Arabidopsis thaliana: one gene and its partners. The protein of the gene in region 3 interacts with the protein of the main gene of each other region in a pairwise test. Each region holds a gene or a part of one and is shown on either strand. Other genes may lie near its edges.

Region 1 (7,546 bases), on a different chromosome or scaffold from region 3:
ATGAAAATTAAACCAACCAAAGTAGATCCAAATCGAAACAGGAGATAAAGCCCGAGATCGGATCGCGATTAAACACAAAACTGGATCGTGACACGGATTAAGAAAGAGAGAAGCTAGAATTTGATGATACCTTAAGGTGCGAGCTAGGTAGGCTCTGGTTCTAGCACTGATCGAAGAAAATGGAGGTGAAATCGCTAAATCTGACGATGGAGAAGAATAGCGGGGTGAGTATGGAGTTTATATAGGTCATGAGATTCCTAAATTGCCCTTGAAACCGTCAAAGATATTAAAGTGTTTTTGGTTACTTATTTATTATTATTGCTTAATTAAATTAAACAAAACACTTTCAGTTAAAAATTAAATGATGTACAGGTAGAAAAAACGATGGGCTCAAAATATTTGGCAGGTTTTTGTTTAAAAGTCTTAGTATTTATTAGTATTGCTTAATTAAATTTAACAAAACACTATCAGTTAAAAATTGAATGACATAGGTAGAAAAAACGATGGGCTCACAATATTTGGCAGGTTTTTGTAAAAAGTCTTCAAGACACGTTAAACATTTGACATATTTCCATTGATTGGATTTCGACCAACTTAAATACACTTTATCGTATTTGCCAAAAAAACATGAAAAATGTTTGTATCAGTCAACAAAATAAACTGTAAATTATATATAAATATATATTTCTTTTATGGATTGTTACTATTTTGTATATTAAAACATATTCAAATTTTATATTGGAAACTAAATAAATTCATTTATTGCCTGTCTATTGTTTACTTTCATTGAAGAAAATATAACTGACTTACCAATCTCCACAATATAAAAAAAGGAAGTACCTTTTTAATTGTTTTTTTGGACAATTTGTATCTCTTTAGCGTTTTTTCCCCAACCTTTACACTTAATCACTTATATTATGGATTCATATTTTTCTGACTTTTTCCACTTATTAAATTTTCTCTTGAGGTAATTGATGCTTCAAAACAAAAATAGCTATGTATATATTATTTGTTCACCTACTAAACAATATTATATATATATATAGACATATTTCTTACCAGCAAAATATATTATTTAATTTGAGAAATATTAACAAGGAATATACATTATTGGTTTGAATCCTTTTCTGTGCGTCAATGTCCATTCATAGTAATAATATACTTCCCAAAGTTTGGTGTTTAGTTTCAATAATGTACATGTTAATCTATTATTATAAAACCATTTTGTATATATGAGTACTTAAGTGATTGTGTGGTGAGGTCTGCAGGACAAACTTCAGACAAAAGACTAACTGCACTTTGCTTAAAAACTCAGTCACACTTTTTGAAGTGCTTCTCAAGCTATATTTGCATAATTATATAAATAACTAATAAAAAGAAGAGTGCGGTTGAAATTTTAATATTAAAGCTATATATAGTTTTAGAAAAATATAAATCGAAACCAAATATATTGAAAAAGAATTCAAATATAACATGGTTCAATATTTTTTTGATTCGTATACAAGTTTGCCATGTTACTTTAACTGTGACCATAAAACCTCAAAATCATGATTTTTGTAGATTCAGTAATTATTTTACTAATTTACATTCGAATTAGAATGCGTCATACGACACCTTCCACTTTCTAGCAACGTATACTCTTGTCAATCATGTAGTCTTTTTATGCACATCATATCACGTAGAGTAAATATTAGAAGCAAATAATAAACAGATATTTCATGTAAATAGGTTTACCCCGAGTAGAGATTTTACACATTATAGAATAAAAATACAAAAGCAACAATAAAATAACAAGAGGAAATTAAGATTACCTAATCACATACCGATTAGGCGCAACACCTCTAGCTTGATCCAACGTAGTGAAACCTTCCCAAACCAATCCACTCTTGGGTCCACGTTGCTTGGTTCTCTTAGACTGCACCCATTCCCAAAACCAAACTACCAATCCCCAAATTATAAGAACCACGATCGCACCCACACCTGCGATCGTGTACGCTCTTGCGTTCGGCTTGATCACATCCCCTGCAACAGAGTAAGCCAAGACCATAGGAACGAACAGAGGGTAATACCAAAACATACTCTCTTGTCCTAAACTCAACAAACGTATCATCATCTCAATCGCAAAGCAGAACCCCGCACTGTTCCACAACCATAACCAGATAAAGTAGACCTCGTCCATAACCACTGAACCCGCTTTCGGACCGCTTGTTCCACTCTTTTGACCACCGCCATCAGACACGCCTCCGGGAGGTTGGAGAACCGTCTGATATGTAGCTGTGACGATGAGAGTTGCGACCACTAAAAGAGCGTTTCTTCTCTCTTCAGAGATCCAAGAATAAAACCGAATCTTCTTCGTCCGTCTCGATTCTCTCCAAGAAAGCTGCGACGCGAGTATATCCGATGTTGTCTTAATCTTGACAAGAGAAACCGAACGTTTTCCACCATGTCTCTTAACCATTCTCTCTATCTCTCTGTTATTGTGTAACACAGCAATGTCGAACACGGTTAAACCGTTCTTGTTCTCAATGTTGACGTTAATCTTGGAGCTCTCTAACAACAATTTCATAGCTTGACGATTGATCTCGTACGCCGCGAGATGTAAAGGCGTGTTACCGTCTTTGTCTCTTCGGTTTATGACTCTTGTCTCGATCCACTCTGCATCTTTTTGACACAATCTTAAGATCCATCCCATGAGAACTTTAAGAACGCTTAATCCTTCTCTTTGGTCGTAGTTATTCACGGCGATGTGAAGAGCGTTTTCTCCGTTCACATTTGCGTCCACAATGCTTTCGGGACAACCCAAGAAGAATTCTGACATCAGATCAATCTTCTTTCTACTTACCGCAACTAGCAATGGCGTCATACCTTTTTTGGACAAGAAAAATGAATTAAACACTCCTGGTATAACCAATCTAGTTCATGATCTGACCATACAATATCGACATAATGACTAGTCAAAAGCAACAATAGACTGAATTCAAACTAGTATTCAATGGACTGTTCGTCCTACTTCAATACTATCTCCAAGATTTGAATTTACTAGATACATATTATAACATTAGTTCGGATTGATTAGAGCTAAAGCTTTTGGAAAAAACTAAGAAACATAATTAAGGGTTCAACAAAATAAGTGAGTGTACGTACCATGTCTCCCTTTAATACGAACAAGACTTGGATCAACCTTAACTACTTCAAGTACTAACCAGAAGTGACCGTGTTCCACGGCGAGGTGTAACGGTGTAAGTCCGTCGGCGTTAAGTTTCCGAGCAAAAGATGGTTTCAAGTTCATCATTTCCATGGCAAACTCTGTTTTTCCATTGACGGCTGCCACATGGAGAGGAGTATTAACGAAGGGCACGTGGTCGGTTTTATCAAGAACGTATGGATCTTCATGGATTAGTTCGTATAGTAGATCGATGTTTCCAGATTTAGCAGCAGCTTCTAATGATCTTTGGTCCATTAGTGACTCAAGAGAACAGAACGACGATGCGAATTATATTTTTGGTGATTAAATATGATGATGAAACTTAATTGGCTACGAAATGATAACTCGTTTGTGAATGAAGGAAGTTCCCAAAAAAAGGAAAAGAGTGGGAAATTATAGGTGACGTGGCAGTATACGTGGACACGTCAGTATCTGATCATTTAATCCAACGGTTGATATTAGATAAATAAGAATTATTGTCTGAAAATTTGATGTGACATGGAGTACAACGTGGATCATATCGGCTCCAGCATCTATTTGATCTAATGGCTAAGATTGTACAAAATAACTCGCTGCTAAAGTGTTGAAATTCGGATGTGACGTGGCATTAAACGTGGATTAAAATCATCATAATCATTAATTTGACAATCTAACGGACAAGATTAGGAAAATAATTATTTATTACTAATCTAAGTTTATTTATTAAAAAAGCACCAAAAAGACTAGCCGTTATTAGAGAGCGTCCAAAGAGCGCCGCAACGGTCACATTTTTCCCCCAAATCTATCTTCTTATTCGATTTACAATACTCCATAGCAAGAACAAACCCTAATTCTTCACCTCCGATCAATTTTTTTTTTGTTGGAGAGATTCTCAAATCTAGATCGATTACTGTTCGTGTTACTCTCTTGATTCCAGATTCTGTTATCTTCGATGGAGTCGTTGACATTGAAGAATGGGAAAGCAGGGACTCCGGTGAAGGATCGGAGCAAGTTTCAGTCCAATCAAAAGATTTCCAGATCATCGGAGAATGCAAACCCTAACATTTCACAAGCGAGTCCTTCTAAATCACCGCTCATGAAATCTGCGAAGAAATCAGCGCAGAAGAATCCGAGTCCGAGCCCTAAACCTACCCAGGCGGTTTTCTCTCCCCGGAATCGGATCAGAGAGAGGAAGTTTGTTGTGGTGGCGAAGAAGAATTCGAGGAAAGGGAAGAAGGAGCCAGCGATTACAGAATCCAAGGCAGCTGAGATAGATTGTAAATGCGGAGAGAGGAAGAAGGGGAACATGAAGTGTGTTTGTGTTGCATATGAAACTCTGCGTGCTTCGCAAGAGGAGTTCTTCAAAAATCGAATTGAATCAGAGGAGGATAAGGAAGCTTTGGAGGAATGCTGTAATCTCGGAAATGGCGATGAACTAGAAGGAAAAGAATCTGGAGAACCGGAGAAAACAGGCGTTTCCACAATGAAGAGATCAAGAGCTAAGGTGGTGGAAGAAGCACGGCAAAGTGTGCCTGTATCTGGTAAAGTGATGAATCTTGTAGAAGCATTTGAGAAACTCACTTGCTTTAGTAATTCAAAGACTGCCAACAAGATAGAAGAGAATCAAACCGAAGAGGATACGAAGAAACCTGTGAAATTGGAATTCTTGGAGGGTGAGAAAGAGAAAAACCCATGGAGTTCTTCGTTTTGTCCATCTGAAATGGTCTTAACAGCTAAGAATCTGGGTTTAGACCCCAATGCTTCGATTTCTTCGTCCTGGGACAGCACCCGTGGCAGGTTAGTTTGTTGTTGACTAAGAGATCTCACTGAAATTATGAACTTGTCTTGTTCTGAATAGTTTGATATTGTGATGTTTCAGTGTTTTGAGTGGAAGTTCAAATGCTGGCAGGAGAAGTAGAAGAAATGTAAGTGTCCTGCATGCAGCATCTGAATTTTCTTAGCTGTTTAATGGTTGTCTGTCTTGCTTAGTATGTCAGTATAGTTTAATAATCATTTTGATATTTCTGTTTATGGCAGAGCATGGAGTCATCGACTACAATGGGAAGTAGAAGATCAAAGAAGAAGCAGGTTAAGGTCACTTCATTGAAGCCGTTTAAGCTTAGAACTGAGGTATGAGTTTCTTTAGATTAAAACTAAAGAAAAATTTCGAATTTTATGGTGGAAATTGAGTCATGACAGTTGGTTGGTCTTTTGTCTCTCTGCAGCAAAGAGGTAAAGTGAAAGAGGAAGAGTTAGCAAAAAAGATACACGAAATAACAATGGAGGAAGAAAAGATGAGAATCCCCATTGCTCAAGGTCTTCCATGGACAACCGATGAACCTGAGGTAAGCATGTTCTGCTTTCCTATTAACATCTCAATTGATCTTGTAAGCTCTAGTAGTAACAATAGTGAGAGATGATGTCTTGTTGACTATGAAAAGTTCTAATGTTGTTTTCTGTTTCAGTGCCTAGTGAAGCCTCATTGGAAAGACATTACAAGACCAGTCGACTTGACGCTCCACTCAGATGTCCGGGCAGTTGAACGCGCAGAATTTGATTACCAGGTAACCTTGCTAATGCAATGATTAAATCTACATTTTGTTGGGCTTGAAGTTCAAGATACCTTAAAACATAGCCGCTGACATGATTTGGCTTCAGTAACCATTTCATTCTGTCAAATCATTTAGAGTATACTTGTTTTCTTATCAGCTGGTTGTGTTAAGACTTGAGACGGAAAGGAAAATAGCTGATAGTGTCAAATAGTGTGTATTGTAGTCTGTAGCCAAGGTTGACTTGTCTATAGTAACTTTGCATTGTTCCATAAATTTCTTCATGTTAAAGTCTGAATTTTTGTTGTTCTAGGTTGCCGAGAAGATGAGCTTCATTGAGCAATACAAAATGGAAAGAGAAAGACAACAGAAGGTAAACTTTAATATGAGATGTTGTGGCCATATCCGATAATAGAGTTTTGCTTTAACTGATTTTGATAAATCCAATATTGTTTTTAGTTGGCAGAGGAAGAAGAGATAAGAAGGCTGAGGAAAGAATTGGTCCCAAAAGCACAACCAATGCCATACTTTGATCGACCATTCATTCCAAGAAGGTAAAAGACTGGTACATAAATACTATCCTCTTGAATCTTTCTTATTATGAGAGCATGATAGGTAATATAGATATTGTTTTCAAGTGAGAAATATGTTTTCAATATAGTTTTCACAGACCAACTAATAGAGTAAACTTTCTTATAACAATGAACGTCATTGCAAAAGCTGACACAGTTGCTTCTTGTTGTTTTCTTTTACCATTAAAAGGTCGAGCAAACATCCAACTGCACCACGAGATCCCAAGTTTCACATACCGCAACACAAGAAGATCAGATGCTGCAGTTCATCTTCTTGGAGTGAAACTGGCTCCTGCATGAGCGATTTCCAATATCAGTTTCTCTAGAAAGCTTCTTTTGGATTTACTACTATATCATCCTTGTTCATATTCTCATTTTCAAAACTACATTACCTTTCTGTAACCAATTAGTTGCAGTTTCATAGATTTGACAATCATTCTTGTTTCACCTTTGTAATAATAATCTGGTCTTCACCCAAGAAAATGAGAAAGATTCCATATTGTTTGCAAAATCTGGTTTGATCTGGTTCAGAAAGATATAATACTTATCCTCCAGTTTGAATTTGGATTTAACTGACTTATCTTATGATTCAATCCGTGTTCCACCTCTCATACATTTGTTTGCAGAATCCGGTGTACATTGGTTTAGTTCTGGTCAAGAAACATATGTGAGTTTTAAATCATCTTCCAATTTAAATTTGTATATGACTGACATACCAGAAGAGTTTTCATAGAGAAGAGTAAATTGTTTCTTGAGATTTCTATGAAGAAGAGTAAACTTGGGATACAAAATCACTGTAAAGAACAAAACTTTAATAGCTTCATCAAATATCAAATTAGTTCGTCAAAATGAACAGAGCAGAAGAGAGTAGAGATCTAAAATCACAAAAGCTAAAAAGATCTATAACATTCTTGAGGCTCCTCCAAAGCAAGCATAAGGAGAACAACAGCTCTTCATGATTCAGCTGCAATACGCCCAGCAACCTGATCCAAATCCCGTTGACCGCTCGAAGTGATTCTTCTCCCTCTGAGACAAAGAATGAACAAAGGAGGAGAGATGAAAGTAAGTCACTAACAAGGTCTTCCTACGAAAAGTGCCTTTAGAAAGAAATAAGAATTACCCTTTAGTGTCAAGCTCGACAATGCTCATTGTCTCCAACTGTTGGAGAATATGGCGAGCAATACCACCACTGCTCTTACAGAAATGTGGTGGTCGACTTCCATTTCTTTTGCTACCTCCAT
Region 2 (7,499 bases), on a different chromosome or scaffold from region 3:
AGATACTGAGGATAAAATGTTTTTAGTCACAGTTTGGTGGTTTCTTACACTTATATACGGCAGAAGCAGGTTGCTTATACACTGGAATGCTGTTTGCATCCAACAATCTTACTTCTCCTGGTCCAAAATACAACTCCGAGTGCCTTCGAAGGTCGAGTCCTTGGATACCAGCTTGTAACACCGATAAGTTGTCTGAATCAGGCGAAACAATCACGATTGTGTCTTCTGAGTATTGAGTCTCGAGAATAGACATGAGTTGCGTCACACGCACAAATACATCTGATACACTCTCGTTGGGGGTACCGTCGCTTATAGGAGGAGGTTTTGTCTTCATCGATATTGAGTCTAATGCATACACCTGCACAGAAGTTGAAACTTTCATACTTCAACCCGAGTTTTTGTTTGTATGTTTTAATGTGAAAAATGCTAAAATCTTACTTCTGATATAGATTCAAGCTTCTTGCCTTCGTAAGCTCCTAAACCACGAGCATCAAGGAAGCTATACTCCGGAACTATATAGCTGCGAAAACCAAGTGAACATAAAACATTCAGCGTACCATCACAAAGATTAGATTCCACAGCTAAAACCTCACTAAAGAGTAAGAAGACTAATGGACGATTTTACCTGCGACTAATTCCATTGATGGCGGCGATGATTTCAGCAGCCTGATAAGCTCTCTGTGTTATGGAAGGCCAGAGCCAACAGTTTCGGTCACAAGCTCCCATTGCTTTTAACTGTAACGCAGCTCTCAGAGTCTGCTTCTTACCTTTCTCTGATAATCCGCTATCTACCGATGTTTTGGCAACCGGGTTTGTGTTGATTATCCCTAAGCTTTCGTAATCTGATTCCCCAGCTCTCACAAGGTAATAACTTGATCCAAGAAAAAACAACAACCAAAAACACATTGTGTATTATTAGCTCCATTTTCTAAGATAACCAGGCTAAATAACTCCGGAAACGAATCAAGAACAAGAATCAAAATGTTAAAAGTCAGAGATTCACTCTTAACAGTTCAATGTGAAGAATTTGGAATCTCACTAATCTACTAAAGCTTTACAAGATCCTTTAAACTTAGTTCCAATCAAAAGGACGAAGATACGTATACATTGATGCACATCTGGTTGTATGCACAGAAACTCAAAACTAGGGTTTTGAAAAAGTAAATTACCGATTAGAGAGCCGGAGAGGCGGCATTTGAAAGAGACCGCGTGCGTTAGCTGGTGCGGCGATGGAGACGGAGAGTGATGGTGTGGCAATACATACGGAGAGAGTTTTGAAAAGGTCTCGGCGGGTAATATGCGGCGAGGAAAGTAAATTCAGAGGAATTTGGTAGGTTTCCGGCGACGGAGGAGGATGTAAGTGTGAGGCGGTGGTGACCGCCGGTGATGATGATAACATAATTCAATCGTCATCTCAAACGGTATCTCTGGTCCTCCGTGTTTTAAGGTTACAAAACCACAATTGTGAATCGCACATTCCGGTTTAGATTATGGGTTCGTTTTTAAAATCGAATCAGCTAAACCGGTAACTTTCTCGGAAATATTCTTAACCGGTCAGGACCAAAAAAAAAACCTAAAACAAGAGAGAAACTCTGTTTATTACTCTGCTCTTAAGAGGACAAATTTGTTTCTTTCCTTACAGTTTCCAAAAAAGAAAATGTTATAAAAGTAATCTAATAAACTTCGATTAAAACTAAAATTGTAACAACGTACATAGATTCAACTTGCGAAAGTTACAATCATTTCCAAAAAAAAAAACTGAAAACCCATTTCTTCATACACAAGAAACTTCATAACTTAAGGGTTCCACTTGTTCATTTTTTTTCTACATAGGCTTACACAAAATAATAGTAATAAGAACTTCACCTCACTTCTGATTCTATCTTAACCTATCGATGAAGCACCGTAGACGATGAAATAGCTGAAACTATCAAGCCTGGCCAAGTTCGATTCCAGCATTCGAATAGCGCTTTTCTTTATCTTCATCGTCATCGTTCCAGTTAGTTGTTTTATAGTAAGTTATGTATATTATAAGCTGGATTATTCCTGATAGCGATCCAAGACCATTTGGAATCTGTTTTCATGCATGGAAGATAATTAGTCCTTTTTGAGATGTAGGGATTTGAGTTCCAAACAATAAAGATATATATGAGGGTTTACCAAAATATAAGGGTCAAATTTAAGACATGCATAAATGACCCAAACGACACCGTTCATGAAGTTGGCTAATGATAGGAAGAACGGCATGTATTTCACGCTCTTTGTCTTTATCACAAGTTTCTGTTCCACATTATAACTAAACTCATTAAATGGAAATTCACGAGATAAAGAGAACAAAAGAAAAAAGTTGATAGTGTAGTATCCAATTTTTGCATTTCCGTGATTAGTTTAGAAAGAAGAGGCATCATACCATGACGGTGAGAGGAGCAGCATACATGATGACGTTGAAAACAATGCACAAGATCCCAATAAGCATTGATCTCTGCTTTGTTGTATGCAAAAAATACATTGTGCAGAAGATCACCACCGCCATGAATATTACCTCGATAACCATAGCTATTGTGATCTTTCTCTGTACACATATATATATATCATAACTTCACATATCAAAATCTATATCGATCTACATTTGAAGTAACAAACTAAAACAAACATCAACCACTAATTCACTAATTTTCAATTGGTTTAAAGGCTATCAAACCTATGTCTGAAAAGTTTATATAAATTGAATAATTTAGAATGCATATACATATTTTTATCATTCGTGTTGAAATTAGAGGTTTTAAAGGCTTACGCGGACAGGGGAGGTAGCGAAGACAAAGAAGATGGTGACGTAAACGAGTTCCATGAAAAGACCAGTTCCATTAATGGTGATGACGAGGAGACTGTCGGGCTGGACGAAAGGAAGTCCGTAAAATGTCCACATCATGCAGTTTAAAACCGTAGCTACGTATGGATCTGGCTTAAACTCGGAGACCGATTTCATCTTCCATATCTTCACCATCGTTGGTCTGCACAATTTTCACATATGTCATTGCATGCAACAAAACAAAAAAAGATTTAATCATCATGTGTGCTTACATTGGAGCGCAGAACAAGCCGAAAGAAATCACGTTTCCTAAACATATAACAGACAAACAAAGACATGAGCAAATGTTTTTGTTGTTGATTGAATTAAACTTTATGTTTGAGTAAATTGTGGAGGACTTACCAACGATTCCGACGATCGTCCGGGCGGTGTGGGGGTCCGTCATTTTTCTTTGTTTCTAAAGAAGAATTCTTTATCTTCTACAGATTTTATCAAAGAACTAATTTATATTTTATAAAAATAAAAGAAGAAGAGAAACAAAATATGTTGATGATTTCGATTCTTCTTTTCGATGATTCTTGTTTATAATTTTTTTCTTTAGTACTGCGTTTCTTTTTTGTTTGTTTCTGATTTGTGATGTGAGTTTTGTTTGTTTGATGAAATAGCTTTTTTTTTTTTGGTGTGGTTTCTAGGTTCTGTTTTTGGTTTTTTGATATTTGGATTATTTTTGGTTTCTGCTTTATGAACAGAGAAAAAAGAAAAAGTGGATTTTAATAGTGAGTCTGTGAATCAGCAGAATCTGGGTAGAGTAACAAACGCATGACACGTGGTTTCAAATTTGAGCCATGAAGCCGTTGACTCCGCTCGTACCCCATGCATGAGAAACACCCGGCTCTTCACTCACATTAATACCTCTGTCTCTCTCTCTCTCTCTCTTTCTCTTTCTCAAACATAATTACATTTACTATTACTACATCTTCATTATGTATAAAGAGTTTGTTGTCTCATATTCATGTCATAGTAAATGTTGTGTAGAGCATCTTGTATAGTATATACAATAATACAAAGCAAGTGAATATGTGCTGTAACCAAAAACTTTGTTAATAGCAACTTGTATTGATGAATAAAGAGAAGAGATTTTAGTTTTACTCTCTTTTTAGGTTTACTATGTAAACACTTTGCTATATATGAATCACTTAATATTCCTTTCTCATCAAGCTACGAAACTGCAAACGAATTGAATCAAGATGAAGAGAAACAGAACACACAAGCCTCAGGTTTCAGTGTGAGGCGCATCAATCGAAAATACTAAATTAATCTCTCATTGTTTCTTAATGTTTTCCCTTTAAATGTAGGTCGGTTAAGACTTGAGATCTAAAACCTAATGGGACATGAAACTGGGCTGCTTAGCTTATAAACTCTTTTGTATTGCCAATATATAGAAAATATCCAAAAAAACAAATGTCATAAACCCCCAAAAAATGTCAAAAACCAAAAATATATATGTGTTTTTCTTCGTTCAAGTTTAATGAAATAGAAAACTGACACCATGAAGAGAGGACGCCAAGAGAAGAAGACCTCACGATCTCCAAAACGACGACAACAACGTCAGAACGAAATCTCCGAGAGAGAAAATTCAAACGGTATACATATCCCTTTCGATGTAATAACCGATATACTCTCGAGACTCCCTGTTAAGTCACTTGTGAGGTTCCAATGTGTATCGAAGCTGTGGTCATCTCGTATCACCCTCTTGATCATGACTCGGTCATTATTCTCGCCCTCTACTTATCCTACTAATGATATATCATTCATATACCCAGACAAAGACAGTAATTATACATTAAACCATGGGCGAAGTTGGGATTTTAAGTATCAATAATTTTCGAGGACTCTTCTGTTGTTGGTCAAGCTCGATCTATAAACATACCAATAGGAAAACGATTTTATTACCGGAGGTAAAACACGATAGATGGAGCAACTCGTGTGATGGATTGTTCGGATATGATCCAGTTGAGAAACAAGTTTTCACATTAGTGGGAGGTCCAATGAAGCAGCAATGGAGGAGCCTTGACATCCAAGGCATTTGGAATCACTCTCCAGAAGCTAGGAGTAGTGGTTTATGTATCAAAGAGTTTATCTATTACATAGCACATGTAGAAAGCTGGGATGATCCCGAATTCTATGAGCTAGTGAGGTTCGACGTTAGACACGAAAGCTTTGATCGTATTCAGATGCCCATAACTCTGCAGATGAATCAGCAGCTCAGTGAAGTGAGTTTCGATGAATTGACTTTGGTAAACTACCAAGGAAAATTAGGATGCATACGTTACACCAAAGCTAGTGCAGAGATGTGGATTATGGAAGATCATATTGAGCAACAAGAATGGTCTAAGATGATGATATTTGAGAAATTAGGTATTGCATCGCTGGTGTCAGTCCTAATGGTGAGATTGTGATAATGCCAAAGACAGTGACATCTGCTCAATCTTTGTACCCCTCGTACTATGATCCGAAATGTTAGTTTGTTGTACCCGCCGGATCACATTTGTTCAACTCGTTCCCTTAGTGAATAGTAGTTTTTATAATAAATATCAATTTTGTTTTATCAAGTGTATTCCTAAAAACATTGTTAGGAAAGTAACTATCTTATAACGGATTCTAGCTCAAGATATTTATTTTTTCTAAGACTCGTTTTCACCAGCCTAAGAAATTGTTTAACACTTTTTATGATTCTCAATCGTGTTGATCGATAATTGAGTTTCTAAGGTTTTAATATTTACAGCCATGATTCGTAAAAGTGTCAAGTGTGCATATAATAACATAGAAAAAATAACAATTTCTTAATTTATATTACAAGTGTCAAGTGTGCATATAATAAATAGGACCAATCATAATCCTTTACAGCTAAAACTTGAATCAAGTTATATTATCATCACGAGTCTTTTGACCCAAGAAAAAACTTCTCTGAGTTTCGGCCCATGGAACTTTCGCAGTCGGACCCAACCCGAGATCCTGATACCCGGTACGATCAACGTTGCTGTTGTTTCCCCAGCTTCCGCCGATCAAGAAGCTCCACCGCCGTTGGTTACTCCTCCTGGGGACGAATTCGAACCGTCGATGACAGTAATCACAGCGGCGACCACGGCGACGAGCCACGTTGGTGGATCCGAGCATCCTTGAAGATCCGAGAGTGGTCAGAAATCGTTGCTGGTCCACGGTGGAAGACTTTCATTCGTCGATTCAATCGCGATCCACGACGCGGCCGCGATTGGGACGCAAGCGAGAAGTTTCAATACGATCCTTTGAGTTACTCTTTGAACTTCGATGACGACGACGAGGAGGATGAATACGTCGGACTAGGTGGATTACGAAGCTTCTCGACCCGATTCGCTTCTGTCCCGGTTTACTCAGGTAAAGCTCCGGCGATTTCGCCGACGTCGTTGTCTGCGTTGACGCCGCGTAATGAGATCATTGAAAGTTAGTGGGCGCGTGTGAGAAACGCGTTTGCGTTTCTGGCGGCGGGGAAAAGGCTGTCAAAATGGTTGACTGGTTTGGTTTACATCGTTTTTGGAGTCTGTCGCGTTTTCTTATTTAATCATTCTGTTTATATAATCAACTTTGAATTAATTTTATTATTTTCCCAGTTTAATTAATTTATTTATCAACCAAATTTTATGTTTCTTGAAAGAGAAGCAATATTTTGTTTCTTTTTTGAGGGGATATTGAACTTGTTGTGGCTAATATAATATAATTTTATGTAAATTAGCTGTTTAGCATATGTGGAAGTAATGATTTAGTTAATCATGGTTGCTTGACATGATTTCTTTATTTTTATAATCTATACTCATTTTTAAAATTCCACTCAAAAACTTTTCTGTTTTCCAAAGATATAGTTACCGTTAAAGCCGAGTAAAGAGAAGAAACTATCAATCGTTTGGGGTAGTATGTAATGAACCAACAACACTTTTCCCAATTCAAACTTCAAACCTTTCTATTGGAAGCCATAAACGAATGACGATCATTGATCAAAACATTCAAATACATTTTTTCGTTTCTCTCAATTTATTAAGGAACTACATAACGATTTACATGTTCTAGAGAGAAAACTGTACCGAAGAATCGATTCACCTTCAGATTCATAAGAATGGTTCAAAATTCATAAGACCAAAAGAAACAGCAAATTAAAGAAAACAATAAAAGAAGGGACCGATAGGAACAAAGAGGGAGAAAACACGTGACCTGGCAAGGGACTTCCATTACGTGGGTCGGCTCGTTTCGGATGTGGCCCATATATTGAGTTGTCGGGCCCGTTGCATTTGTTTGTTGAGTTCATATGATATATTCGAAAAAACTTTTACTTTTTCAATATTAACCCAACTTCAAATCCAATAACCATATTTCTTACTGCCAAAACTCGGATTTGTGATCTTCAAGTCTTTTTCACTTTATGGATAATTTCCACTGTTAATCACGTTTTGCTTTTACGCGCATCAACTGTTGTGGAAATATATATTTATCGTTTGTTCTTGTTTCTTTTCAATGACGCTATCCTTACACCAGCACGACATATGCTCCTGTTACATGTCTTCCTTAGAGACCAAAAGTTATGGATTCACTTGTACACACATACACATATATTGATTTAGTTTAATGTGATTACTAGTCTCCTTTTGCGATTTTCGTTCTT
Region 3 (6,464 bases):
AGTCGTACAAACGAGGAACTCATATGCCGTGTTGTCAGAGATGCCTGCAAATCTGCTCTGTCTGGTTTTGATACGACCATTGAAGAGGTATATATGTTCGAGCTCTTACTTGTACTGTCTTTGCAGCTTAACACTCATTTCTTACTCGTCTTCATCGTCTGTTGTAGGATGAGAAGCTTCTGGACAAAGGAAAGCTTGAGCCTAGGTTGGAAATGGCTCTCAAGATAAGGATTGGTGAGAAGAGAGTGCTTCAGCAAATCGACCAAATCTTCAAGGATAGAGAGCTTGAACTTGACATTTTAGAGTATTACCAAGAGAGAAGGCTCAAAGATCTTGGGTTGGTTGGCGAACAAGGGGATATTATCTTCTGGGAAACCAAGTGAGAATTAGCTTAGCTTGTATAGCTTATCCTGCAGAACAAACTCAAGGCTAGAAAGAAAATCTTTACTGGTTTGGTCTCAGACCACATAGACTTGAATCAACCTCAAGACATCAGAGTTGAGAGACCACAATTTGTATGTTAGGCTATTGCCAAAAGCAGGCTTTTTGAAATTCTATAAGATGAGACATAATCTTCTTTTTAGTTACATCTTAATTTACGTAAAACTAAATAAATCAAGATCAGCAACTATGCAGGAAAATTGAAAAAAATTACAAACAAAAATGGAAAAACTCAGGGAAGGAACTATGCAGCTCCCGTTCAAGTGTTTGACATGCCGTCCTCTTGCGGAAGCAATGAGATATAATATGCTAAAAACATGACTTCAATGTGTTAAATTTCTATGGCCAAACAGGTCGTGGCAATTTGTACCTTCACAAAGACATTCTTGAGGATTTGCGTAGAAGTAATCTTCCTCCTTAGGTTTGTCAGAGATTACTCTTCGATGAGTAGGTGCTCCTGCTCGTCTCTCATGGGCTTCCTTGACTGCTACTGCAAACTGATCCCACGTGAGGGTCTTGTTGTGATGTAAGTCTAGTAGCTCCACGAGTCTCTTACGGTCAAGCAGGATTGTCTTCTTATATCCAAGGTATCTGCAAATTCAAATCAGATATAGACCAATAATGGTTATATAGAATCACAGGTTTGGTTATTCTTAACACCACCTTTTTAGTTGTCATGAAATTGAATGCATTCGACACCACAAATAATTTACCTACGATGACCTTCCACGACTTTTGCCATGTTTCCATCATACGTAGGAATAAAAGTGTTGCTGGCCACAGATACCATGAAATCTAGAGCAGCCATTTGAGACGAATGGTTCTGAAACTGTTGCAGCTCTGCTGACTCCAATAGCATTTCCTTCTTTACCTATAACCACAGGTGAGTAAAACTGATAAGAAAAAGTGCATTGTAATGACGATGCAGTTGAGCATTCTTTGTAGCAAGAAAAGGGAAACCAGGACTGGTAGACTCACAATTCTCGGGAATGCTTCCCTTAACACGGATAGTCTATGCTCGCTCCCATAAATCTCACCAGCTGCAATGTATATCTGTGTATTTTTCTCAAATCCCAACGCTTTTAATACCAAGGCCACCTCCTCTGGCGTCAAAGGACACAGCCCTTGCGCCCTCCTCTCCTCTGAGACTATCTCCTTCTCTCTCCACCAGGGATATGTGTACCTAAAGAACACAGAATGGACCTATGAATTAACAACTAAAAAGACCTATAACCAGAGCACCAATTCAGGAGAAATCTTTTGAAGAGAAACCTCATCTTTTTTAGCTCTTCCGCTTCTTCCTCAGTGCAACCATGAGTGCAGCCAGAGAAAGCTAACATGTCCATCTCATATCTCAGATGCAAAGCCACAAATGGCCCTCTTTGTTGTAGAATCCGAACTAACTTAGATCCCAAAGCCTCAAGCTGTGGAGTGAACTTTAGTCCCTGAAAATTCACCCGGCACCTGAGCCACTGGAGAGAGAGCGGAAGACCATTGTTTGCCAGGCGGGTATCAGTCCTATTGAAGTGTACAACTTTATGCTTGCTGAAGAGAGGCAATACCTGAACAAGAAATTAACCAATCACATATGCAAATGGTTAGGTAATATCTTGTAACAAGGATAGTCAAAGGAACCAAAACAGCAAAACTAGTGATAAACAAGACAAACCTGCTTCAAGTAATATTTTTCATCAGACCAGCTCACAGGAGGCATTTCGAACATTTGATATCCATACTTTCTACTAAACCGTTTAGGAAGCCTCCTTAAGATCCGAACTTCATCTCTTAATGAATCAATGAAATGTCTCACATCAAAAATATCCTCAAAACCACTGCAAACAAAAATGAGGATACTTTAGATTGCTAAAAAATGTTAAGCATATAAGACACATGAGTGATTCTATAAACACCAAAGATAGAGTACCTAGGATCAGCCCAGAAAGATGTTTTGTCAAGCTCTGGAACAACGAGAGTGAGATTCAATAACCGAGCAACAGTCACCATATCACATATCTGAAACACAACATAAAAATCAGAATTTGGAAAAACATCAAATCTGAAAGAAGAAGAAAAAGAGAATTAAAGCAAAGTCACCAACCGCGGATCGCATTTGATTCAATCCACCATTACAGGATACAAGTAGAATACCATTGCTTGTATAATTCCCTGCACAAAATCAACAATCTCGTTAAACTCTCTCAAGCACCAACGAACCCTAATGTCCCCTAAATAGAGAGAAAACTGACTCGGAGGAGGTAGAGGAGGTGGCAATGGAACTGGCTCAACAGGGGCTGAGAATCTAGAAATCTGATTGGTTAAACCAGTGAAGATCCGGGAATGCCAAAGCTCACCGGCGGCGAAAAGCTGAACCAAACACGTCCAAACCAAAATGCTGGAGCAAACTCTAACGAACCATACTTGTACACGAGGCTTCGGAACTGCCGGCGGAAGCGGAAGCTTATCGCTTCGCGCCTGAGTAATATTACTCTCCGATCTAACTTCCATCTCCCTCCTCCGACGATCGTCGTCGCCGCTTCATGAGAATAAAATTACTATAACCTAAATTTCTCCGATCTTGTGAGATGTCAGAAATTGAAATTAGATGACAAACGCGAAATGAAATGCTTCTTCTCTCCTTTGTGTCAAATGGTTTGAATCTCGAGGAGTTTTTTTTTCTTTCGAAATTCAGAAGAAGAAAAAAAAATCACGAGACGGAAAAAAAAAAAAAAGAGGTGGTAACGGTGAGAGATGGGAAAATAAGTTAATTAACCGTCAAAGTGTCTTCTTCTTCTTCTATTTATTGTTTTCCCAAGAAACTCATTCTATTGCTTACACAATTTATTTCCTAATTCAGAAAGCTTCAATTTTCCTAACTTGTTTCATTATATATATCATTAAATGTCAAAGATTATTCTATAACCAAAAAAAAAAAAAAATAGGTTTCAAGGATAATGATTGATCAGAAAAACATATGATAAATAAAGATTTCAAGAATATTCAACATTGAAAAACATATAAAGAAAGATGACACATTTTGCCTTTTTGATAGTCGTTGTCATTCGTCAACGGATTCACCTAATTGTTCTCCCGTACTTTTTTTATTACTGTCATCTATTTATTGCACTAATCACGATTCAAACCACTGTTTATATTCATCTCCTTTATTCAGATATTTTCAAGCTGTTGTAAAACAAAACAAAAACTGAAACGAAATCATGACACGTACCTCAATGTTGCATTATTAACATCCCTTCCAAGGAAAGATTACTATTTTATTCTTTACTAAAAACTCGAGTACAATTGTCTTTTCAACAAAATTTCCCAATTAAGTTTAAAATTAACATTACCAAGTCATATGTAGTTATGCTTGAATTATAAAATCTGGATGTGTTATTTGTTTCTTTATTTACTTCTAACTTACTTTAGTGTGATCCACTACAAGTATATAGGTCCAACATTATTAATGGGCCTTAATTTTAAAGCCCAATTCCAGAGGGTAGTACTCCACGTGTTTTAACGAATGAAATACTAACACGTGGCAATGCACGTGTTGACTTTCTTTTGTTTCCTTCCTTCCGTTTAACAAGAAAAATAGCTAAACTTTGAAATCCGTCAGATCGATTTCTCTCTATATCGGAGCCGTCATGAATCATCGTCGGAGCTCGATCGTACTATTGATCCTCTCAATTTTATCTCCCGTGACACTCTCTATACGATACGAGCTACTTTCTGGGCACACGAAATGCATCTCAGAGGAGATTCACGCAAACGCAATGACCATCGGAAAATACAGCATTATAAACCCTCACGAGGATCATCCTCTTCCTTCTTCCCATAAAGTCACCGTCAGGGTAATAATCATCCGATCGGATCGCATTTCCCTTCAATTTCTTCTTCCGGCGATTTCAGTATAATGCAATGTGTTTGATTTTTAAGGTCACATCGCCACAAGGGACGGCTTATCACGAATCGGACGGAGTAGAATCGGGACAATTCTCGTTTGTAGCTGTGGAAACAGGGGATTACATAAGTTGCTTCTCCGCCGTCGATCACAAACCAGAGACGACGCTGATCATTGACTTTGATTGGAGGACGGGTATTCATACCAAGGATTGGTCGAATGTGGCAAAGAAGAGCCAAGTCGAAGTAAGTTTTTCGCTTTTTCTTTACTCTTGAAGTCTTAACTTAGTCAAACTAATCTCTTTAGAGGAAATAGATTTTGATGCTTCTAATGACATGAACAATAGAGCATTGCGCCGGATGTGTGAGAATTTGATAGCTGCCTAAGTTACACCAAGACATAGTGCTGGAAAGTGGAAAGTTATATCTGAAGTGAGAAATGCTATGTAGTCTTGGTTTATAGGTTATGTTGGTGCATTGGTTTGGTTAGAACAAGGCCATGAATTAAGCTGACAGGGCTCGTGTGTTACTGACCTGTGTCTGCAGTCTTGCATATGAGAAAATAGCTTCATTAGTTTCACCTTTGAACCCCATCGATTTCTTCAGCTCATTCAGGAGTTCTTTCCCTGCTAAATGAAGGTGGATAGGACTAGGCTTTAACAGACGCAGAAAATTACTATCTTGAAATGTGGTAGATAGGACTAGGCTTTAACATACTACAGAGCAAGACTAGCTTGAAATGTAACATAGCCTCTTAAAGAGATTGCAGAGTTTTTGAAGGAATGTTTTGTTAACCTTGTTATGGTTGGATCTTGTTTTATTTATTGGCCAGACGATGGAGTTTGAGGTTAAGAAGTTATTTGAAACCGTGAATGGAATCCACGATGAGATGTTCTATCTCCGCGACAGGTAATGACAACAAAACCTGTCTTCCCTTGAAGTCACTTGATCAGAGGATGAGAGTGAATCAAAACTCAAAACCCTTCTTCATTTGGTATATTACAGGGAAGAAGAAATGCACAATCTGAACATAGCGACAAATTCGAAGATGGCATGGTTGAGTTTCGTGTCGCTTGCAGTTTGTTTATCGGTCGCAGGTCTTCAGTTTTGGCACTTGAAGACTTTCTTCCAGAAAAAGAAGCTTATCTGAAAACCATTACCATCTCCTGAGGGCAGAGATTGTATTGAAAACCCTATGACTATAGCTTTATATACACTACTGAACTCATTTTTCATTTTGTTACTGAATTTTTCGGAAACAGACATTTTATCCTGTCTGATATGATATGAACTTCTCATTAACCTGCAAACTCAATCCAATCCATGTAACAACAATAAAAGCTTTCTATCTCACACTCTTTTAAAGCAAATGAAAAGATGAAAAAGAAACAATCTTTACAAAAGAAATGAAACAGAGATTAATAAGGCAAACAGAGAATGATACTTTCTTGTTTCTGGTTGTTTTTGTGCTTAAATAATGGATTTTGTGTATTATGAAGTGAATAAGCCCCAATGGTGATCTGATGGTAGAGTTTCCTTGATCTTTTCAAGTCTCTTGAGAATGTCCAGAAACGACGGTCTCTGGTTCATGTCTGCGTCCCAGCATTTCACAATTAACCTATAAAAGAGAAAATTAGTTAGATAACCGGTAGAGTAATACCGGTGCATATGGCCTCGTATTTTTCTTACTCTCTTAGATCTGGTGTGCATCCTTTGGAACGGAATGTAGGTCTATGTCCATCAGATACATGTTTGGCTGCTTCATATGGCTCATGGTTCGCAAATGGTGGCTCTCCTTCAAGCATCTGGGTACAATGTGGTAATGAAATTAAGGTTAAGATTTTCTGAACTTTGGTTTTGTTTTTTGTAGTAGAGAAAGGAAGTTTTATAGTTAAGATCTTAGTACCTCGTAAAGTATCATTGCAAAGGAGAAGACATCGACTTTCTTGTCATATCTTCTATGCTTGAATACTTCAGGAGCCATATAACGATCTGGTTTTGTTGCACGAAGAAGAGAAACAAAGAAGGTGAAGTTAAAGAAATGAAAGGAAAAGAAGGCAGAGGACCTCCGATTTTACTATAGAACAACACTTACAGCTTCCTGTTTCTCCAGTCATTTTGTA

The links. The genes of interacting proteins can lie anywhere in the genome.
Region 1: the proteins of AT1G14020 (region 3) and AT5G15500 interact in a protein complementation assay, tested with the Arabidopsis thaliana proteins (one large-scale study listed by BioGRID).
Region 2: the proteins of AT1G14020 (region 3) and AtVEX1 interact in a protein complementation assay, tested with the Arabidopsis thaliana proteins (one large-scale study listed by BioGRID).

Annotation. Positions count from the first base shown.
Region 1 is NC_003076.8:5,029,984-5,037,529, forward strand, and holds AT5G15500 (Ankyrin repeat family protein), read right to left. Parts: upstream 3,558-7,546; 5' UTR 3,461-3,557; coding exon 3,145-3,460; exon of another isoform or gene 2,866-3,144; coding exon 1,808-2,865; 3' UTR 1,665-1,807; downstream 1-1,664. Other genes in the region: AT5G15510 (TPX2 (targeting protein for Xklp2) protein family), read left to right, coding at 4,137-4,981, 5,064-5,109, 5,222-5,314, 5,410-5,529, 5,650-5,748, 6,047-6,106, 6,193-6,287, 6,404-6,605; AT5G15520 (Ribosomal protein S19e family protein), read right to left, coding at 7,259-7,331, 7,426-7,546.
Region 2 is NC_003076.8:25,228,274-25,235,772, forward strand, and holds AtVEX1 (Nodulin MtN3 family protein), read right to left. Parts: upstream 3,572-7,499; 5' UTR 3,255-3,571; coding exon 3,212-3,254; intron 3,119-3,211; coding exon 3,082-3,118; intron 3,012-3,081; coding exon 2,795-3,011; intron 2,573-2,794; coding exon 2,411-2,572; intron 2,395-2,410; exon of another isoform or gene 2,295-2,394; intron 2,281-2,294; coding exon 2,161-2,280; coding exon of another isoform or gene 2,098-2,160; exon of another isoform or gene 2,075-2,097; coding exon 1,931-2,074; 3' UTR 1,665-1,930; downstream 1-1,664. Other genes in the region: AT5G62840 (Phosphoglycerate mutase family protein), read right to left, coding at 23-358, 439-520, 626-871, 1,170-1,399; AT5G62860 (F-box associated ubiquitination effector family protein), read left to right, coding at 4,359-4,514, 4,768-5,268; AT5G62865 (uncharacterized protein), read left to right, coding at 5,791-6,294. UniProt on the Arabidopsis thaliana protein: Mediates both low-affinity uptake and efflux of sugar across the plasma membrane. May play roles in nurturing the male gametophyte.
Region 3 is NC_003070.9:4,799,412-4,805,875, reverse strand, and holds AT1G14020 (O-fucosyltransferase family protein), read right to left. Parts: upstream 3,157-6,464; 5' UTR 2,947-3,156; coding exon 2,688-2,946; intron 2,608-2,687; coding exon 2,540-2,607; intron 2,455-2,539; coding exon 2,366-2,454; intron 2,274-2,365; coding exon 2,111-2,273; intron 2,004-2,110; coding exon 1,714-2,003; intron 1,625-1,713; coding exon 1,420-1,624; intron 1,313-1,419; coding exon 1,155-1,312; intron 1,033-1,154; coding exon 765-1,032; 3' UTR 501-764; downstream 1-500. Other genes in the region: LSMT-L (Rubisco methyltransferase family protein), read left to right, coding at 1-87, 168-383; AT1G14010 (emp24/gp25L/p24 family/GOLD family protein), read left to right, coding at 4,086-4,292, 4,378-4,587, 5,174-5,250, 5,347-5,491; VIK (VH1-interacting kinase), read right to left, coding at 5,833-5,959, 6,031-6,146, 6,248-6,333, 6,437-6,464. UniProt on the Arabidopsis thaliana protein: Glycosyltransferase involved in the formation of rhamnogalacturonan I (RG-I) oligosaccharides in the seed coat mucilage, which is a specialized cell wall with abundant RG-I. Transfers the rhamnose residue from UDP-beta-L-rhamnose to RG-I oligosaccharides.